Linked DNA regions of Arabidopsis thaliana. The protein of the gene in region 2 interacts with the protein of the main gene of each other region in a biochemical or structural test. Each region holds a gene or a part of one and is shown on either strand. Other genes may lie near its edges.

Region 1 (6,801 bases), on a different chromosome or scaffold from region 2:
CAACAACTCACACCGGTTTAGTGAATCTCGATTACTTCCCATCAGGGAGTGTAATCGACGGTCTGAGTGCTTCACTTTTGAGCCGGTGCCAGCTAAAGAACATAAGAGGAACATTGGTGATCTCATGGCCTGAGTTTGGTCCTTCAGTGATAAGATTCGCCGGAGCTCTGCTGAAGAAAATTGTCCCGAGTTTGGATGTTGCGAGTGTGAACAAAGATCTGGAGAAGAATTCTTCAAGAACTGGTCTTAAAAAGGATACTTGGCTTGACTCTGATCTATATACATGATTCAGAGACAGAGTAATGAAAGCTTCTCACTTGTTTCATGTTTCTATGCTTACTAGGAAAAAACAGAGACCTTATTTACGCTTGTGTTGTTCTCATTGCAAAAACAGTTTTGTTTCATTTCTACATTGTTCTTAGGTATGTGAGGACTTGTGATTTTTCTTAGTACACACAAATTATTGGGCTAACAACAATTTAGCGGAGTCGAACTCAAGTGAAAAATGTGGAACCACTTGACTGAAGACACTTCCCCGTTTTGGTTACAATCTTTGTAAAACGAAACGAATTTTCTTCATCCCAAAATAAGCCAACACATATCATGGGAAAGATTGCTTCGTCCTCTTCAGAGAGAGGAAGAAAAAGAAGAAGTGAATATCACGCAAGAGATATTGAAAGAGAAACCGAAAGAAGAAGACGAAGAAGAGAAGAAGAAGCAGGAGATGATCATGCATCATGGAAGAGAAAGCAAAAGAAGAAGAAGACAGGTTATTAAGATACCAAACGACGATGTGTTGGAAGAGATTATAGTAAGGCTTCCAGTGAAAACCCTAACTAGATTCCAAACCGTGTCTAAACACTGGAGGCATACGATAAAGTCTAGGTAAATCAGGAAGAAATACATGTTGCATCAGAAAACAAAAGAACCCAAATTTCTCTGTCTCTATGAAGTTAGAAGAAACGGGTCTAAGCCAAGCATTCGTTACAAGACCATGAGGTTGGAGTGGTCTTTGAGTCGTCTAGTGGGAGAAGAAGAATATTTAACTAGCAAGAAACACAAAGAGAGGCGGATACTATTTTCCAAGAGTGTGGATGGTCTTTTTTGTTTATATAGTGGTGTGGACATGAAACAGCCAATTATGGTGATAAATCCAGACACAAGATGGTCTAAGAAGCTCCCTCTTGCTAGGATTCAACGAAAGAATTATTTAGACAGCAACAAGGTAGAGTTCTCTCGCCTCGGGTTTGGAAAAGACAGCGTCACAGGAACATACAAACTAGTGTGGTTACGTACCAAAACAAAGAAGAAAATAAAAGAGGAAACCTCATCGACGATGACATGCGAGGTTTTCGATTTCGTTTCTACGAAATGGAGGCGGTGATTCCACCTCCTCCTAATCATGGGATAAAGCATGAGAATATGTCTTTCTGATACCAAAACCTGTACAAGATCACAGCATACAACAAAATACACAATCTTATATATGTTTTTTACAAACCCAAAGCCATTCATATAGTTTCTCTTGTCATCTTGGACCTGATAACTCCATGGCTTGAACCAGCACCGAGGAATCATCTGTAAGATCCGAATAACGTTCAGAGGAAGAAAACTCGTTAGGTTTACTGTAACTTCTATTGGTTTCTGCTCTCTGAGAAGAAGCTTCCCATTTCTCAACAAGACCATCGCCTTCAAGCATTCTCACAACTTCAGACATCTTAGGACGGTGAATGGGAAGATACTGTGTACAAAGCAAAGCCACTTGAACCATTTCTTCCACTTCTATTCTATCGTAGTTGCTCTTCAAATCCTTGTCTACTATCTGTTCTAGCTTCTTCTCTTGTTGTAGTTTCTTTACCTACAAGTAACCCCAAAGAAAAAACCCTAGAAGTGAGTATTTTTAAGCTAACTGAAACAAGAAGAGAAAATGTTTTACTCTTTTACTTCTTACCCAATCAAGTATCGCTCCTCTTTGGTTTGCTGCTTTTCCGAATTCAAGAGCTCTCAATCCAGTAATCAATTCGAGAAGAAGAATCCCGAAACCGAACACATCTGTCTTCTCAGAAGATTGTCCTGTTGAGAGATACTCAGGTGCAATGTGACCCACTGTTCCTCTCACGGCGGTTGTCACATGCGACTCCTCATGATCCAAAAGCTTAGCCAACCCGAAATCTCCGACAACAGCTTCAAAGTAATCGTCAAGAAGTATGTTCGCAGCTTTGACATCACGGTGAATGATCTTTGGATCACATTGCTCATGCAAATACAGCAACCCTCTTCCTGCTCCTAATGCTATTCGCTTTCTTGTGCCCCAATCCAATACCGGTTTAGCTGCAAACCATTCACACGAATCGTAAACCGGGTCAATTCATGTAAAGAAATCAAAATCAAGGTGTTTAATTAACTACCTTTGAGACGAGAAGCGACACTGCCATTGGACATGTAAGGATAAACGAGAAGCCGTTCAGAGGAAGTAGTACAGAAACCGTATAAGCGGAGGAGATTCCGGTGGACGGCAAGGCTTATCATTTCAAGCTCTGTCTGAAACTGAACCTCTCCACCACCATTGTTTATATCCTTTAATCTCTTCACCGCGATGATACTTCCATCATGAAGACAACCTTTATACACATTTCCAAACCCTCCTTTTCCGACCAGATTCTTGCTGCTGAAGTTACTAGTTGCGGATTGAAGTTCTTTGAAATTAAACCTCCTTAGATTCCCTAGACACATTTCTTCCTTGTTTTGCTCTGTGTAAGACCCAAAAATTCACACACTCACATTTGTCTGGTTTCACATTCAACAGTTAACGAAAAGGGATTAAAAATGTCATTGTGGGTCTTACCATTAATGTCAAAGAATAATACTTGTTTGTTATGTCTTCTTCTCCACCAAAGAAGAAAACCAAAGCCAATGATCAACAAGCAAACACATGTCAAGCTTACACCGAAGACTACCGCGATTTTCCGGTTTTTAGTTCCTCCATCAGATGATTTATCTAACAACAACAACAACAACAAGAAGAAAAGAAAAATCAGTTTAGATATATTCTCTAGGATTCAAATATTACTTTAAAATATTGAAAATTTAGATATTACTTTGAGAACTGTTCAAGGTGATTGACATTGGCTTAGGCTGAGTCCCATTACAGTCTTTCTCAGTTCCTGTTGGACAAATCTGAGAATTGCCCATAACACTGCATAACAAGTTAAATAAAAACTATATAATATAATTAGGGTAACGTATAAAAGTGGATAAATTACAGAGAAAAGAAAAACACAATTACACTGTTACTTTCTCAGAACAGAGTAAAACAGAGCAGACAAATATTCTTTCTCGTAAATAGACTTACTTGAATGTTTTGGCAAGTGATCTTGGAACTGGTCCACTCAAGTTATTATACGACAAATCCCTGAAAAACATTTACAAAATATATATAAACACAGATTTATATATGTAAAATATAATTTAAAGAAGAAAATAAAAGAAAGAGAATGTACAAAAAAGTGAGTTGGGTCATGTTTGCCAATGAGCTAGGAATTGTTCCTGTCAGGCTGTTATTATTAACCCTCCTGCTCCACAATTTTCAACACAAAAATAATCTCTCCATAAATAATTTATATAAAAAATATGATAAAATAAACAAAACGAAAAAATGGATAAAATCATACAAGTACTGAAGATTTTTGGAGTAAGAAAGAGTGAATGGGATTTGACCAGTGAAGTTATTGGTAGAGAGATCAAGTGTTTTGAGTTTCATCAATTTCCCAATCTCATGAGGGATGTTTCCTGTTATGTAATTGTTCTGCAATAACCTGTATCTCCAAACAAAATTATTAGAAAACTAAAGTGATTAAGAGATGAAGAAACAATGTTTTAATAATTACTACAAAACATACTTACACAGTTTGAAGATTTGTTAAATTTCCAATACTTGATGAAAGAGTTCCTGATAAGTTTTGGCTTGGAGCTTCTCTACATACACACAATAGTAAAAACTGTAAACACATGATTACATATATGTGTGTGTGTGTGTGTGTGTTGGTGTGTAAGTGCTTACAGCCTTATGACAAAACCATCAGAACAAGTGATCATGTTCCAGCTACATGGATCAACTGCTGTGTCATCCCAATTCATTAGAACTCCATGAGGATCAGTCAGTGAGCTTTTGATTCCTATTAAGGCAACAACTAAAGAAGAAACAAAAAAAGAAAAGCATGTTTTAGGAAGAAAAAAGGAGAAACTGAGAAGTGGGGGAAGATTTTGTTGATGAACATTACCTTCAAAGTTAACACCTTTGTCTGTGAGTTCTGCAGAAGAAGAAGAAAGAAAACAGATAAAGAAGAAGAAGAAAGTTGAAGAGAACAAAGCATAACTCTTTTTTGCTTCTCTTCTTCCTTGCAACATCTTTGTCCGAATCAAAACTTGTTTTTCTTGAGAGTATTAATCTCTAAGGTGCAGAGTTTGAGGTTTATTTCTTTTGTATAAGAAATATTCTTTTTTTCGATTCTTTGTTTGGAGGTTTTTAAGAAAAAGATGGAACAGAGGATTTTGATTTGGAAGTATTTGTGAGTGAGAGTTAAAGAGGGAAAGAGAAAGAGAAAGATTTGTCTGCCAATTATTTATCTAATGGTCCTCTAGACTGTAAACTGGAAAAGGCCAGAGACAAAATCGGGAAATGTTTAGTTTTCAATCATGTGATAAAAAAACAGAATTCTATAAGATTTTTATGGTTTATATACTTCGCGCACACAAAAAAAAAAACTTGATTTATATTAAGTTATCTACAAATATGGGTCCATTTATTTAATTTCGTCTCTCTTACCAGAATTCGACTTCGTTTTTTACATATATGAGAATAAATTATTGAAAAAAAACTATATTGTAGTGCTTAAAATTACAAAAATGCAAAGATGGTTTACTATACAATCGTAGACACAAAACAAAATTGGTGAAAAAAAAAAAGACACAAAACAAAATATATCTATATCATAAAAAATATACAAATGAGTTTAACAATGATGAAATATTACATATGTACGATTTTTTTGGTTTAATAAATAATTTTGTTTTCTTTTAAATCAACTCATTGGCAATCGACTGTTTTCAATTTCAATTATGTATATTTGCTTTGAAGAAAATGTATTTTTCTAGACAATCAACTGTTTTAGAAAAACTTAAGATTTAATATTGAAAATAAATAATTATGTGAAATGTTGTATTGAATGTTGCATAGTTATACTGGTACATGGACAATGGTGTGAGCTAGTGGATTTACCAGCCTTGCTCTTTAAAAAGGGATGATGCTACCAAATCGAATATGTACTAAAAACAAAAAATCAATTAATATGTTTTTTGGGTTATAAAATCAATAGATATGTTACTTACTCTTTAGACTTTTTTTTGAAGTAATGTATTTGGATTCGAAGACCTGGTTGTGTTCTAAGTCTAGAGGATTAATAGACTCAACCTGTTCTCGGATGTAGGAAAGCAACAAACGATAATCAATTAGACCTAAGATAAGCCTTCATAAAAAAAAATACATCATACTATTAATCAATTAGAGCAGGTGAAAAGTGAATTTATATGGTAAGCACTAAGCACCATTAATCTGTTATTAATAAAGCATTTATATTCCGGGAAGAATAACCAAGTGGCCTCGAAGTGATAAAGTGTGAAAATTATTGTGATGTAACGCAAAGTTAAATAAACTGTGAATTATAAAATTATAATAGTGGGACACTCGTTGTGTCGATGAGATATACTGTGAGTCTGTGACTTAGAACTTTTCTTTTTCTTTTTTAATGACTCCCTTTAACTCTGTTTTTATTCCCACTCATCACAGTTAATATATGTTAATATCTTCATAACTATTCATTAATTATATTAAGATATTTGATCCTTTTTCTATCTATGCTCTAAATTCGTGCTAAAATATGTTTTGTCAACCATTTGAAATTAAATATCGTTTATCAATGTTGTTTGTTGATAATATAACATGTGCTTTCGCCAAATGGATGGTTTTCTTTTCTTCCGAATGTGACAATGTCAATTGGATATTTTAAGCGGTGGAATATTAGATGGTACTTTAGAGGGTAGAATTAGAACTTGATAAGACGGAAAACATATGATCGAAATGAAGTTAAAATGAGAAAACTACAAAACTCGAAATTCCAAAAGAAGAAATAATGATTGAGAGCTTAACATTTGGTCTAAAATAAAAGAAAATTGTTAGAGAAAACAAAAGTTTGAAAAGAACTTACCAAATGTAGTACATAATAGTTATAGTTAAGTTGATCAAGAAATTAATAATGATGCGACTTAATGTTATAAAATAGTGATTTTCCCCCATTTTGTCTTTCGATTAACATATATGGAAATTTGATATTTTTTTCTACCATGTTGTTCCCAATCGGATGTGCGTATATTATTATTTTACATGAGTCTAGTACTTCATTACTTTACTACTGCACAATGAAAAAATGATTGATGAAGAAATTATTGGATCGAGCAACTGCTAAGCTTATATACAAACACAAAAATCAAATCTTTGTCTACGCAGTGATTAGTCAACAGACAAGCCACTTTTTAAACCACAAAAGCAAACTGCTTTATAAAGCAAAAGCTGTTCTCCTCTATCTTTCATCATTACTCTAATTTCTTAGTGCATTATCATTTATTTCATATACTACAATTTTATTTTGGTTTTTTTCGGGATAATGTCATGATTTGTATGTCGTGTGCATGGATACACGTGTGATACTAAGTATTAACATAACAAATTGCTTATTTCTTCTTCAT
Region 2 (5,012 bases):
TGGAAGCTTGTTGTTTCGGAAGCTACTGGTTGTTCTGATAATGACTACTTCGAAGACGTCTACCAAGTGAGTATCGAGTGAAAGACTCTTTCTTTGAGGCTTTTGACTAGTCTTTCGGTTCCATTAACAATCCATCACATTGTTTTATCTCTTAAGTATTATGCGAATGGCGAGGCATGGCATCTCCCAGAAGGAGCTTATGAGACAATGTCACTACTGAAAGATGCTGGAGGTTATTATTACTCTCTCCTTGTTAACTTAGATAACTTTTTGTATTCTTTATGGCGGATTTGTAAAATTGGTGTTAGATGATTGCAGTTAAGATGGCTGTTGTGTCTAATTTCGATACCAGGCTAAGAAAGCTATTGAAGGATCTTAATGTCATAGATATGTAAGCTTTGTCATGTTTTGTTATATAAACCAGAAGTCTGAGTACCAAAGTTAACACCATGAATGGTAATCGTTTATAATGCTTGCATCTCTTGCAGGTTCGATGCTGTGATTGTATCCGCAGAAGTCGGATACGAGAAGCCTGATGAACGAATCTTCAAATCTGCGTTAGGTATTGGCATATTGCATTCTAAACTGAAGTGTTGTTTCGTTTAAATTATAAGAAAGGTTTCAGAGTTAACATTTTGTGTCAAGCGGAGAACAAATTAACGTTAACATTTTGTGTCAAGCGCAGAACAAATCAGCGTAGATGTAAACAGAGCAGTGCATGTCGGAGATGATGAAGGAGCTGATAAAGGCGGAGCAAACGCCATCGGTATTGCTTGTTGGTGCGCCAAATATACTTTTCATCTTGTTTTTTCCGAGGTTTTTAAATTCTCATCCATCATAACACATAGTGCTTTTTGTTTATCTGTTTTCTTTGAAAATTTAGGTTGTGGGGAGAAGATGTGCAGACATTTTCGGACATACAAAAGCGGATCTTGGTTTCAGAACTCTAAGCTTCAAAGATTTTGTTCTGCAATATTTTTCAGACCCTGTACACACTTACTCAATCAACACTGTAATCTGTCTCTTTAAAAATTTAATTAATAATGAAAAAGCTGCAAACTTGGACAACAAGAATCTAAAATTTAAATCAAATAGATGGATCCACGAGAAGCAAACAAAAAGAAGAAAATGGTGAAAGTTACAATATAGAGATTAAACTCTCGAAATAACAAAAAACACTATCTCCGCAACGATAGGTGCCTATGGAAACTGAATCAACAGATTTGGTTTTGATATCATATATCATCAGCTGTCTACTATTTGATCTAGGACAACACAAAAGCTTATTCTTCTCCAAAATGGCTACTGGTAATGATTGCGTAACACTACGATTCACTATCGAATATATTTGTTCCCAGGTCTTGTTCTCTGAATTGAACGACCATATTATCATTTGTTGGAGAGGTTTACTAACCGATAAGCACAAACGGTTATTCAGGCTGCGTGTGATAATGTTTCTATGATCTGCTTCCGCAAAAGGAGCTTTAGAGATAACTTGAAAAGTTTCGGTGTGGAGATCTAACGCTAAAACTTTAATTTCTTTCTTCCCGGTTAACCAATAAAGCGATCCATCTACATACAGAGCATGCCCCCGAGACGAGGAAGTATTAATCCGATAAGGAGAAGAAGGATTGATATACCTCCAAGTGTTGGTGCTAAAATCAAAAACTTCACATGTAGTAGCGTTTTCTAGGCCAAGTTCGGAAGAGTTATACATAACCAAACCGGTTTGTATATGCCACTGATTTTGTCTTTGCCAAATCCAAATTTAACGTGACTAAAATAACTTGGCTGCTCAAGACAGATTTGTTGCAACCTGGAAACAGGGAAACGTCGATGCCATCGAGTGGCGGGATTATAAACAATGTTGTTTAAGGTTTGGTAATCAAAGAGGCAAACAAGACCGTCACAACTATTGTGGAAAAGTTGGTAAATATGATATCGTTCTGATGATATCAACAACACGTTAGTTTTAAGTGGAGGAGAATCAGCAGTAACATGATGGGGCAACACCAACGTACTGGGTACTTCAGACACCAATACAAGATTTAGATCTTTCCCGCCAGCTGAGCAGATCAACTGTTTCGCCTGGAAATATTGAGATTCGATTGTCAACTTCCATTGTTTGCAAGCAGACTTGAATCTGAGCAGAGATTTCACCGGAACTCTCTCAAGAATATCCTCAACGGTGTCGTGGGGAAGCAATTGCATTATTTCTCTGTCTATTGAGAGGATTTTGTTCTGAGTGATGGATAACATGAAAGATATGCTTATTTGTATCAATTCAATCCAATGTTGATTTTTTCCTTGAGGAGGAAGATAAAAAAAAAAAAACGTATATACAATCGATGGGCCCTAACCCTATCCCTAACAAATCTCTTTAATATGTAATGCGCTTTAATAGTTAAAGCCCATTAGTTAAAAACCCAGAGCTATATTGTTGACCTAGCAAATTTCGGATCTATAAATTGAAGCCATTTTCTAGGTCATTAGTTTTTTCGTCGAGCAGCCGCGCTTTTTGGCCGAGGAAGGATAAAGAGAGACGCCATGGGAAGAAGTAAGTTTCTCTCGATCTCTTGTGACTTCTCTGTCAGGATTTCTGTGTTCTTCCGATTCCTCCATGGATTTAATTAACCAAATGTTCTCTCTTTGTTGCGATTTTGAGATTCTGCGATTCAGTTTTTCTATTCATCGGATAAATGATTAGGTTTATATAGTTTCTCTTTAGATACCAATTGATTGATTAGGTTTTTATATACTGTGATGATTTTGAGCTATATGAGTTTGGTCTGAGCTGAAATCTGAATAATCTGAATATTGATTTAGGACCTGCGAGGTGTTACCGTCAGATCAAGGGTAAGCCATACCCAAAGTCTCGCTACTGTCGTGGTGTGCCAGATCCAAAAATCAGGATCTACGATGTTGGTATGAAGAGGAAGGGTGTTGATGAGTTTCCATTCTGTGTCCATTTGGTGTCATGGGAGAAGGAGAATGTGTCAAGTGAAGCACTTGAAGCTGCCCGTATTGCTTGCAACAAGTACATGGTGAAGTCTGCTGGAAAAGATGCTTTTCATTTGAGGATTAGGGTTCATCCTTTCCATGTTCTCAGGATTAACAAGATGCTTTCGTGTGCTGGAGCTGATAGGCTTCAGACTGGTATGAGAGGTGCTTTTGGTAAAGCTTTGGGTACTTGTGCTCGTGTTGCTATTGGACAGGTTCTTTTGTCTGTTCGTTGCAAGGATGCCCATGGTCACCATGCTCAAGAGGCTCTTCGTCGTGCTAAGTTCAAGTTCCCTGGTCGTCAAAAGATTATTGTCAGCAGGAAATGGTATGTTCAAAGATTGATCCTTGAATCATTTTGTTGTTTGATTGTTTTATGGATACAAGTAAGCTAACTCATCAAGTCTTTGACTTTTTTTTCAGGGGCTTCACGAAGTTTAACAGAGCTGACTTCACCAAGTTGAGGCAAGAGAAGCGTGTTGTCCCTGATGGTGTCAACGCTAAGGTATTATTGGCTTTACATCAGAATTGTCACTCTTTGATCCTATAGCAGTGATAGTTATCATTGGAAATATCATTTGTTGTTGAATTGAACAATGTTTTCGTTTTTTTTTCAGTTCCTCTCATGCCATGGACCTTTGGCTAACCGTCAGCCGGGAAGTGCCTTTTTGCCAGCCCACTACTGAAGAGTATCAGAACTGAAGTATCCTTCTCATTCCGGTGAAGAAGAATTATAATCAGCCTGAATCTTTTTACTTATCGTTATCTCTGGTGTTGTTTTAAGTTTTTAGTTGGACACAATCAGTATTCTGAATCTTTTTGTGACTCTTTTGTTTAAGCTCTGAAATGATTTTGTTCCTTCGTTCTTGGCCATATATCTTTCATTTGCAAGTTTTATCATGGCTTTAGCTTTAAATATTTTAATTGAAGATTTGCTTGAAAATCGTTGAAGTTTTAGATAGAGATGGGTGATTGCCTTGTTGGATCATTTAGTATGCATAAAAGATTTGAAATTAGCATAGCAAGCCCATCTTAGGTATTGTCATGCAAGGCTGAGAGTTCAAAGAGAAAATGACAGAGACCTACCTACACGTCAAAATCAGATGCAAACTGCCATTTTCCTGATTAAGTCTATCTTTGTTTTTTTTACTTTTCAAAGAATTAATTGCCATAATTTCTGAAGAAGGAAGCAAAAATCCCAAAACAGAGAACCAAGAGAAAGGAGAAAAATTGAAAAGTTTATGGTATTACTTGCAAGCAAAAGATCAAGTTATCTTGCAAACAACAACTATAAGATTAAAAGCTCTTTTTCTTCTCTTATCAGAGAATTGAAAGAAGAACACACAAAACACATAATATAGTCTCTTTGCGAAAAAATGAATGAAACGAATATAAACAAAAATTTTAACAAATAGTATAGCAGAACTGAAAAACTCTAGATTCTGAACTTTCTCCACCAAACTTATTACAAGACCTGTTTCTGTTCTTTCCAAGAAACTAACAATACCACCAAGATGATTGTATCCAATTGAATTCAAATAAATTTCTTTTATAACCAAAATTAATAAGAAAAAAAAGACTGCAACTTTCGACATCTCCAACGGCAGGAGAATCATAAAAATCATCTGAAAGTTATTGTTGAAACCCTTTTATCAGCAACCCATCACCGCGCAATTGTAAACAAAATTCGATGAATGTTTCCTACCGAGCAATGTCCATAGAGGCGGACTTCGATCACTAGATGGTATCCATGAATTCAGTTCAATGTACCCTCCACCTGAACTCCTAGGACCACCAATCACAATCAACCTCTCACCGCAAGCTCTAAACGCTAATCCCCAACCGTTAACCGAGTCAGCTCTTTCGGGCAATCTCCCTAAAGTAAACCATTTCTTACTCTCCTTATCATACTTCCTCACTTCCATATCAGCATGATCAGCAGCATACAATTCGTTATTCACAACCGCAACAAGAGGCGGCGCCTCTGCTGCTGCCGGCATTTCCCGGCTCCT
Region 3 (6,977 bases), on a different chromosome or scaffold from region 2:
TATCGAATTAGGGATTTTTTGAATTGGGGGTTTTCTGAATTTAGTCGGGTTGTTTGGGTAATAAAACGGGTTGGTTTATGTGTTAATCCGATTTAGTTTCGTTCTTATACGGTTAATGTTGTTTCGGGTACAGTAAACCAACGATAAACCACGAAATTCAAAATTTTGTGGACTGAAGATTTGAACTTTTGATTTAGGGAGACTGAGGTTTAGAACTTTCATTTGGTGTGGATTGGAGACGAGGTCCGAAATCTGTGAAGTTGTGAGTGTATATGAAACTTCCCATAGGAACACAGGTCGTTCACCCTAGTTATAATCATTATATTCCAATAGACCATGCAAATACAATTATTGAGGTATTTTATTCAAATGGAACCCCAAATTAATTTCAAAATTTCATGATTTCAACGGATTCTAGGAAACATTATGATTATAAATTGTTTGTTATTGTCTACTTGATGACTAACAGTCCACTTAATTTCAGGAATTGTTAGTGTAATATTCAAAAAAGAAAAGCTTCCATTCCATATGCTCTTAAATACTTTTTAATTTTGTGTTATTAGGCCTAATACAGTGTAAGGAAACTAATACTTTTAGCCACCTTAATCAAGTATATAAACCGTCTTTGGATATCAAATAATAATCATAATCTATAATCTATAGTAAAATCTCATTTTCGTCTAACCAAGAATTTGATGACAATTAGGTGAGTGAAAAAAAGACAAATACAAAACTCTAAGTGAGAAAAAACAAAGTCTTAGACAATCGGGTGTATCGAATTAATTATACATTGCCAAGCATATATAGACAATGTAATGGCTGTAAATGGCAGAAGTAGTTTGAATCTTCATAACCGATTTAGAACACTTGAAATAAAATAAAACGATGAGCAATTTGTCATTGTGTAATGTGTATATATATGTTGTGACTAACAACTTTTGTATCAAATTTTAAACTAATTTACAAAATCTGAAGACTGTAGTAATCACGGGAAAAAAACTTTCGTGAGTTCATATAAAACTATGGCCAATAATCTAATATAACCAATCATGCAGTCTCCCTAACATGATTGAAGTTGAGACAATTTAGCTTCAGTGCCCTAGGCATAGGACTCAAGTTGGGAACCATTTTTCCCTATCTGCATTCTGCACAATAGTTCATGTCATGTTTTGTAATCTTATAAAAATTTATGATTTTCATTTTTGTTTCCCCTGAAAGTCACAGAACCCATTTACCATCAAACGTCAAATCAACGAGAAAAAGCATTAAATATTAATGATTGTTTCTCATAAATCGAGTTTTAAGAAACCGTGTCACGTGGAGACCAAACTATAAAAACTTGACTAGGAATGAAAGTAGTTCTTGAACAAGGAAATTTTATATATTGTTTGTTCACCACAAATTTAGAATATTTGTTTTTGTTTCTTTCCTTTTGGTTTACAGGTCGGTACGCATTGATGAAGATAACGATGATGTACGAATGTGAATATATATAGTTAAATAAATAGAACCTTGCAAAATCATTTTTAATGTGTGCTCCATTACAAGAAAAATAAATGATTCACATGTATTCTTACTAAGTAAACAACATTTCTTGATATAGTAAACACATATTACGTACTTTGTTGATCGAAATCAGAATCTAAGCAAATATTATTGTGTAATTTTTCTGTTAACCAACTTTTCGAAACAAGATAATTTGACGTTAAGTTTCAAAAATTTGGTTAAGGGAAAAATGAAATTACAAGATATATTTACTAGTTTATGTAATATTATAAAAAAACTTCTCCAAAATTTCAGATGATTGAAATCTTTAAAAGCCAGCATAACTATAATGAATGATGATAATTAAGTATTTCACTTAACCAGGTAAACCATATTCGTTTTAAGATCATATAGTAGTATATACTTCGAACAAATGCAAATGCATGTCATAATATTACTGCCAACTCACACATAGACAAAAACCCATGAAAACGACACGAGGTTTGGACAAATTGTAATGTCTTGGACTTGGATACTGGGTTATCTTATACATCTATTATTACTACACACTACAAAATATTGAAAATCTTATTGTGAATATAAATCTTGTAGTAGTCAAATAAAAAAAGAGTGGGTTAAAATATTTGCATTTTGACTATTAAGAAAAGGTGTTGTATTCTGAAATTTGTTATCTATACAGATTTGTTTTCCTGATGGAAGTTAAATGTGATCGTTGCTCTTAGTGGGATTTATCGAATTTATTTCTTTTAGATCTAAATTTTTTAAAAGACTATTATAAATAATTAACTTACAACATTTTTTTGAAGAAAAAAAAGCTTATCCTTCAATACTTGTACTAATATCTTCGTATTTCCACACATCGAGAAGACAAAGATGCTGAAAATTTGAGTGGGCAACAAAATCAATATAGTAGACAGAAGTATCTTGAGCCTAGTTTTTCATACAGTATAATCTTCTCATCGAAGTTCTCACATTCTCAAAACATATTAATCAAAAAAAAAAAAAAAAATTGCATACAAAAACATTCTATATACGGAGGAATTAATAAAGTCTAGCCTATGCATGACCAACCATGGATTGTTGGGTTCCGTTTACACCAAGCAATCAGTCAACAATGTGATTTAATCATACCCTTGAAACTTAACAACTCTTTTTCATCAGATTTCAACACTCGAAAAACAATCTATGTAAGTGTAATGTGAAATAAATTAAGAAATAGGAAAATGTAACAAAAACACTGTATATTCTAAACTAAAATTAGAAACCATAGACAAAAACATGACAGGGTGGCAGCTAGCAAAAGAACAGTAATCTAATTTCCTGCTTTACCCTTCAAAATTTTTGAAATACACAAAATATAGATTTGCTTTACTGACTATTCTTGTCGATTACAAGAAACAATATGGGCAAAATTATTTTTATAATATCTTTTCTTACAAATTTTTAATATAAATTTATTACTTTTTTAACGGTCTCCCCACACACAAACTTTATCGACAAGCATGCTATTCTAATTTCACTTTAGACTACCAATGAATCTGGTATCTCTATAAAGTTTGTATATCTTGTTTCTGACATACAAAAAAATAGTTTTTTTTAAAATAAAGGTTATGCTTTTGGTGAAGTGGGTTCATCTTGATGTTGAAATGTTTTTATACTTTAACCAAAATTGAAATGAAAAAAGGATAGAGATTTGGTTTTTTGATTCTTCCAATCTCACTCTCTCTGTCTTTCTCTCTCCATCAAATACCAAATTATCTGGAAGCTGAGTACATCTTGTTTTCTGCTCATTCCTCTGTTTCAACAATGGAGAGTACTATTGTTATGATGATGATGATAACAAGATCTTTCTTTTGCTTCTTGGGATTTTTATGCCTTCTCTGCTCTTCTGTTCACGGATTGCTTTCTCCTAAAGGTGTTAACTTTGAAGGTATATTCACTGTAAAGTCTCACTCTTTGGATTCTCTCTCTTTTTTTTTTTTTTACATTGTCACTTTCGTAGATGAAGTGTTTGATATTTGGTCTTTCTGGAATTTTTAGTTGATGGGAATTCAAATAAAAGTATATATTTCTTCTTGATCCAAACTAATATGGGAGTTTTTTATTTTCGTCAGTGCAAGCTTTGATGGACATAAAAGCTTCATTACATGATCCTCATGGTGTTCTTGATAACTGGGATAGAGATGCTGTTGATCCTTGTAGTTGGACAATGGTCACTTGTTCTTCTGAAAACTTTGTCATTGGCTTGTAAGTTTCACATTTTACATTGATACACTTATACTGTATATTACACTGATGAGCAAGCAAGGAAAACAATGATATAAATTTTATTACAGAGGCACACCAAGTCAGAATTTATCTGGTACACTATCTCCAAGCATTACCAACTTAACAAATCTTCGGATTGTGTAAGTACTTACTGTTCACTAAATGATTATTAAGTTTAAAATTTGATTAAATTCTTCTGTTTTGTGTGTGTGTGTGTGTTCTTGATGATTTTTTCCTCTTACAGGCTGTTGCAGAACAACAACATAAAAGGAAAAATTCCTGCTGAGATTGGTCGGCTTACGAGGCTTGAGACTCTTGATCTTTCTGATAATTTCTTCCACGGTGAAATTCCTTTTTCAGTAGGCTATCTACAAAGCCTGCAATATCTGTAAGAATAGTAAAAATTTGTTATGGATCTTTTAAATTTTGTGTTGTTTTTATAAGGAATTTGTGATCTTGATATGTCATGTTGTGTATCATCAGGAGGCTTAACAACAATTCTCTCTCTGGAGTGTTTCCTCTGTCACTATCTAATATGACTCAACTTGCCTTTCTGTAAGCTAATAAATCTTCAGTTTACATTAACCAGTAAAGAAATTCATATGTAGAGACATGAAATGTTGAGATTTGATCTGTTTTTTTTTTTGTTTCCAGTGATTTATCATACAACAATCTTAGTGGTCCTGTTCCAAGATTTGCTGCAAAGACGTTTAGGTAATTTGATTTATTGACAATGTCTCACTCTTTCACTCTCTTTGTCCGTATGATAACCTTTCATTGTTTCCCTTCGGATTACAGCATCGTTGGGAACCCGCTGATATGTCCAACGGGTACCGAACCAGACTGCAATGGAACAACATTGATACCTATGTCTATGAACTTGAATCAAACTGGAGGTAAATAACGAACTTCCTTTAAAACTTTCAATCTTAGTATTATGATCATACCTAACTAACAACAAACTGCTTTCTTTTTTAAGTTCCTTTATACGCCGGTGGATCGAGGAATCACAAAATGGCAATCGCTGTTGGATCCAGCGTTGGGACTGTATCATTAATCTTCATTGCTGTTGGTTTGTTTCTCTGGTGGAGACAAAGACATAACCAAAACACATTCTTTGATGTTAAAGGTTTGATCTTACTCAGTTTATTACTTGCACAGAACAATCTTATAAAGTTTTTTTTTTTTATAAAGAAAGTTCTTTTATTCAACAGATGGGAATCATCATGAGGAAGTTTCACTTGGAAACCTGAGGAGATTTGGTTTCAGGGAGCTTCAGATTGCGACCAATAACTTCAGCAGTAAGAACTTATTGGGGAAAGGTGGCTATGGAAATGTATACAAAGGAATACTTGGAGATAGTACAGTGGTTGCAGTGAAAAGGCTTAAAGATGGAGGAGCATTGGGAGGAGAGATTCAGTTTCAGACAGAAGTTGAAATGATCAGTTTAGCTGTTCATCGAAATCTCTTAAGACTCTACGGTTTCTGCATCACACAAACTGAGAAGCTTCTAGTTTATCCTTATATGTCTAATGGAAGCGTTGCATCTCGAATGAAAGCAAAACCTGTTCTTGACTGGAGCATAAGGAAGAGGATAGCCATAGGAGCTGCAAGAGGGCTTGTGTATCTCCATGAGCAATGTGATCCGAAGATTATCCACCGCGATGTCAAAGCAGCGAATATACTTCTTGATGACTACTGTGAAGCTGTGGTTGGCGATTTTGGTTTAGCTAAACTCTTGGATCATCAAGATTCTCATGTGACAACCGCGGTTAGAGGCACGGTGGGTCACATTGCTCCAGAGTATCTCTCAACTGGTCAATCCTCTGAGAAAACAGATGTTTTTGGCTTCGGGATTCTTCTTCTTGAGCTTGTAACCGGACAAAGAGCTTTTGAGTTTGGTAAAGCGGCTAACCAGAAAGGTGTGATGCTTGATTGGGTTAAAAAGATTCATCAAGAGAAGAAACTTGAGCTACTTGTGGATAAAGAGTTGTTGAAGAAGAAGAGCTACGATGAGATTGAGTTAGACGAAATGGTAAGAGTAGCTTTGTTGTGCACACAGTACCTGCCAGGACATAGACCAAAAATGTCTGAAGTTGTTCGAATGCTGGAAGGAGATGGACTTGCAGAGAAATGGGAAGCTTCTCAAAGATCAGACAGTGTTTCAAAATGTAGCAACAGGATAAATGAATTGATGTCATCTTCAGACAGATACTCTGATCTTACCGATGACTCTAGTTTACTTGTGCAAGCAATGGAGCTCTCTGGTCCTAGATGAAATCTATACATGAATCTGAAGAAGAAGAAGAACATGCATCTGTTTCTTGAATCAAGAGGGATTCTTGTTTTTTTGTATAATAGAGAGGTTTTTTGGAGGGAAATGTTGTGTCTCTGTAACTGTATAGGCTTGTTGTGTAAGAAGTTATTACTGCACTTAGGGTTAATTCAAAGTTCTTTACATAAAAAATGATTAGTTGCGTTGAATAGAGGGAACACTTTGGGAGATTTCATGTGTGAAATTTGGGAATTCATGTTTGAGAATGAAATTTATCTTATTATTGGATCCAACTCCACAAGTTAAAAATTTTCATTAATGCAAACTAGTTTCATTGTTTGTTTTGCACACACACCTGACCTACTGATAGGAAAAGGTAAAGTGAAAAAAAGAAGAAATGTCTCTCATAAAGACAACACGTAGTTCATATGTTGCCAAAACTTAAACGGAACTTTACTTTCGTTTTCAATGGATGATGAAACGTCGAGAATGTGTTTTCAAGAAAACGGCATGAAGTTGTTCTCTCCGTCAAAGAAACGACGTGTTTGTGTATATAAGGAAACACCACGTGGACGTGGACCGTCCATGAAATATAAAAACGGCAATAATCTATGTATACATGGTTCACACTAGATTCAAAGTCACACTTTATACCTACAAATGGAAACGTTCACACAATAGCTTCATCAAAGTCAGAATCACATATAGTGATATGATTTGGTTTGATAACATTAACAATATGCAAAGTCAAGAATTACACGCACATTCTATACGTTTATATGAAAGAAAAAGACAGTTAAAAAGCGAATCATATCTGCATAATTGCATCTGATCTCATGTCGGTGTCTCCTTAATCCTTAAGTATTTCTTATCAAAAAATTTGTGGCTATTAATAGAAGAGAACTAGAGAGGACAAACAAAATATCCC

Evidence for each region.
Region 1: of the proteins of SAC52 (region 2) and NIK2, one has a biochemical effect on the other in vitro, tested with the Arabidopsis thaliana proteins (one study listed by BioGRID).
Region 3: of the proteins of SAC52 (region 2) and NIK1, one has a biochemical effect on the other in vitro, tested with the Arabidopsis thaliana proteins (2 studies listed by BioGRID).

What each region holds. Positions count from the first base shown.
Region 1 is NC_003074.8:9,278,154-9,284,954, forward strand, and holds NIK2 (NSP-interacting kinase 2), read right to left. Parts: upstream 4,708-6,801; 5' UTR 4,408-4,707; coding exon 4,281-4,407; intron 4,191-4,280; coding exon 4,061-4,190; intron 3,976-4,060; coding exon 3,904-3,975; intron 3,816-3,903; coding exon 3,672-3,815; intron 3,576-3,671; coding exon of another isoform or gene 3,573-3,575; coding exon 3,501-3,572; intron 3,413-3,500; coding exon 3,353-3,412; intron 3,197-3,352; coding exon 3,099-3,196; intron 2,999-3,098; coding exon 2,846-2,998; intron 2,751-2,845; coding exon 2,409-2,750; intron 2,332-2,408; coding exon 1,952-2,331; intron 1,859-1,951; coding exon 1,540-1,858; coding exon of another isoform or gene 1,529-1,539; exon of another isoform or gene 1,444-1,528; coding exon 1,397-1,443; coding exon of another isoform or gene 1,378-1,396; 3' UTR 1,360-1,377; downstream 1-1,359. Other genes in the region: AT3G25545 (trigger factor), read left to right, coding at 1-287; AT3G25550 (F-box family protein), read left to right, coding at 725-885, 961-1,282, 1,378-1,434.
Region 2 is NC_003070.9:4,885,723-4,890,734, forward strand, and holds SAC52 (Ribosomal protein L16p/L10e family protein), read left to right. Parts: upstream 1-2,391; 5' UTR 2,392-2,547; coding exon 2,548-2,557; exon of another isoform or gene 2,558-2,707; intron 2,708-2,826; coding exon 2,827-3,328; intron 3,329-3,423; coding exon 3,424-3,505; intron 3,506-3,617; coding exon 3,618-3,686; 3' UTR 3,687-3,982; downstream 3,983-5,012. Other genes in the region: AT1G14310 (Haloacid dehalogenase-like hydrolase (HAD) superfamily protein), read left to right, coding at 1-66, 157-232, 319-391, 489-562, 686-779, 884-950; AT1G14315 (F-box and associated interaction domains-containing protein), read right to left, coding at 1,139-1,655, 1,817-2,211; AT1G14330 (Galactose oxidase/kelch repeat superfamily protein), read right to left, coding at 4,653-5,012.
Region 3 is NC_003076.8:5,220,952-5,227,928, forward strand, and holds NIK1 (NSP-interacting kinase 1), read left to right. Parts: upstream 1-2,982; 5' UTR 2,983-3,312; coding exon 3,313-3,436; intron 3,437-3,620; coding exon 3,621-3,753; intron 3,754-3,842; coding exon 3,843-3,914; intron 3,915-4,018; coding exon 4,019-4,162; intron 4,163-4,257; coding exon 4,258-4,329; intron 4,330-4,428; coding exon 4,429-4,488; intron 4,489-4,572; coding exon 4,573-4,670; intron 4,671-4,753; coding exon 4,754-4,903; intron 4,904-4,988; coding exon 4,989-6,052; 3' UTR 6,053-6,337; downstream 6,338-6,977.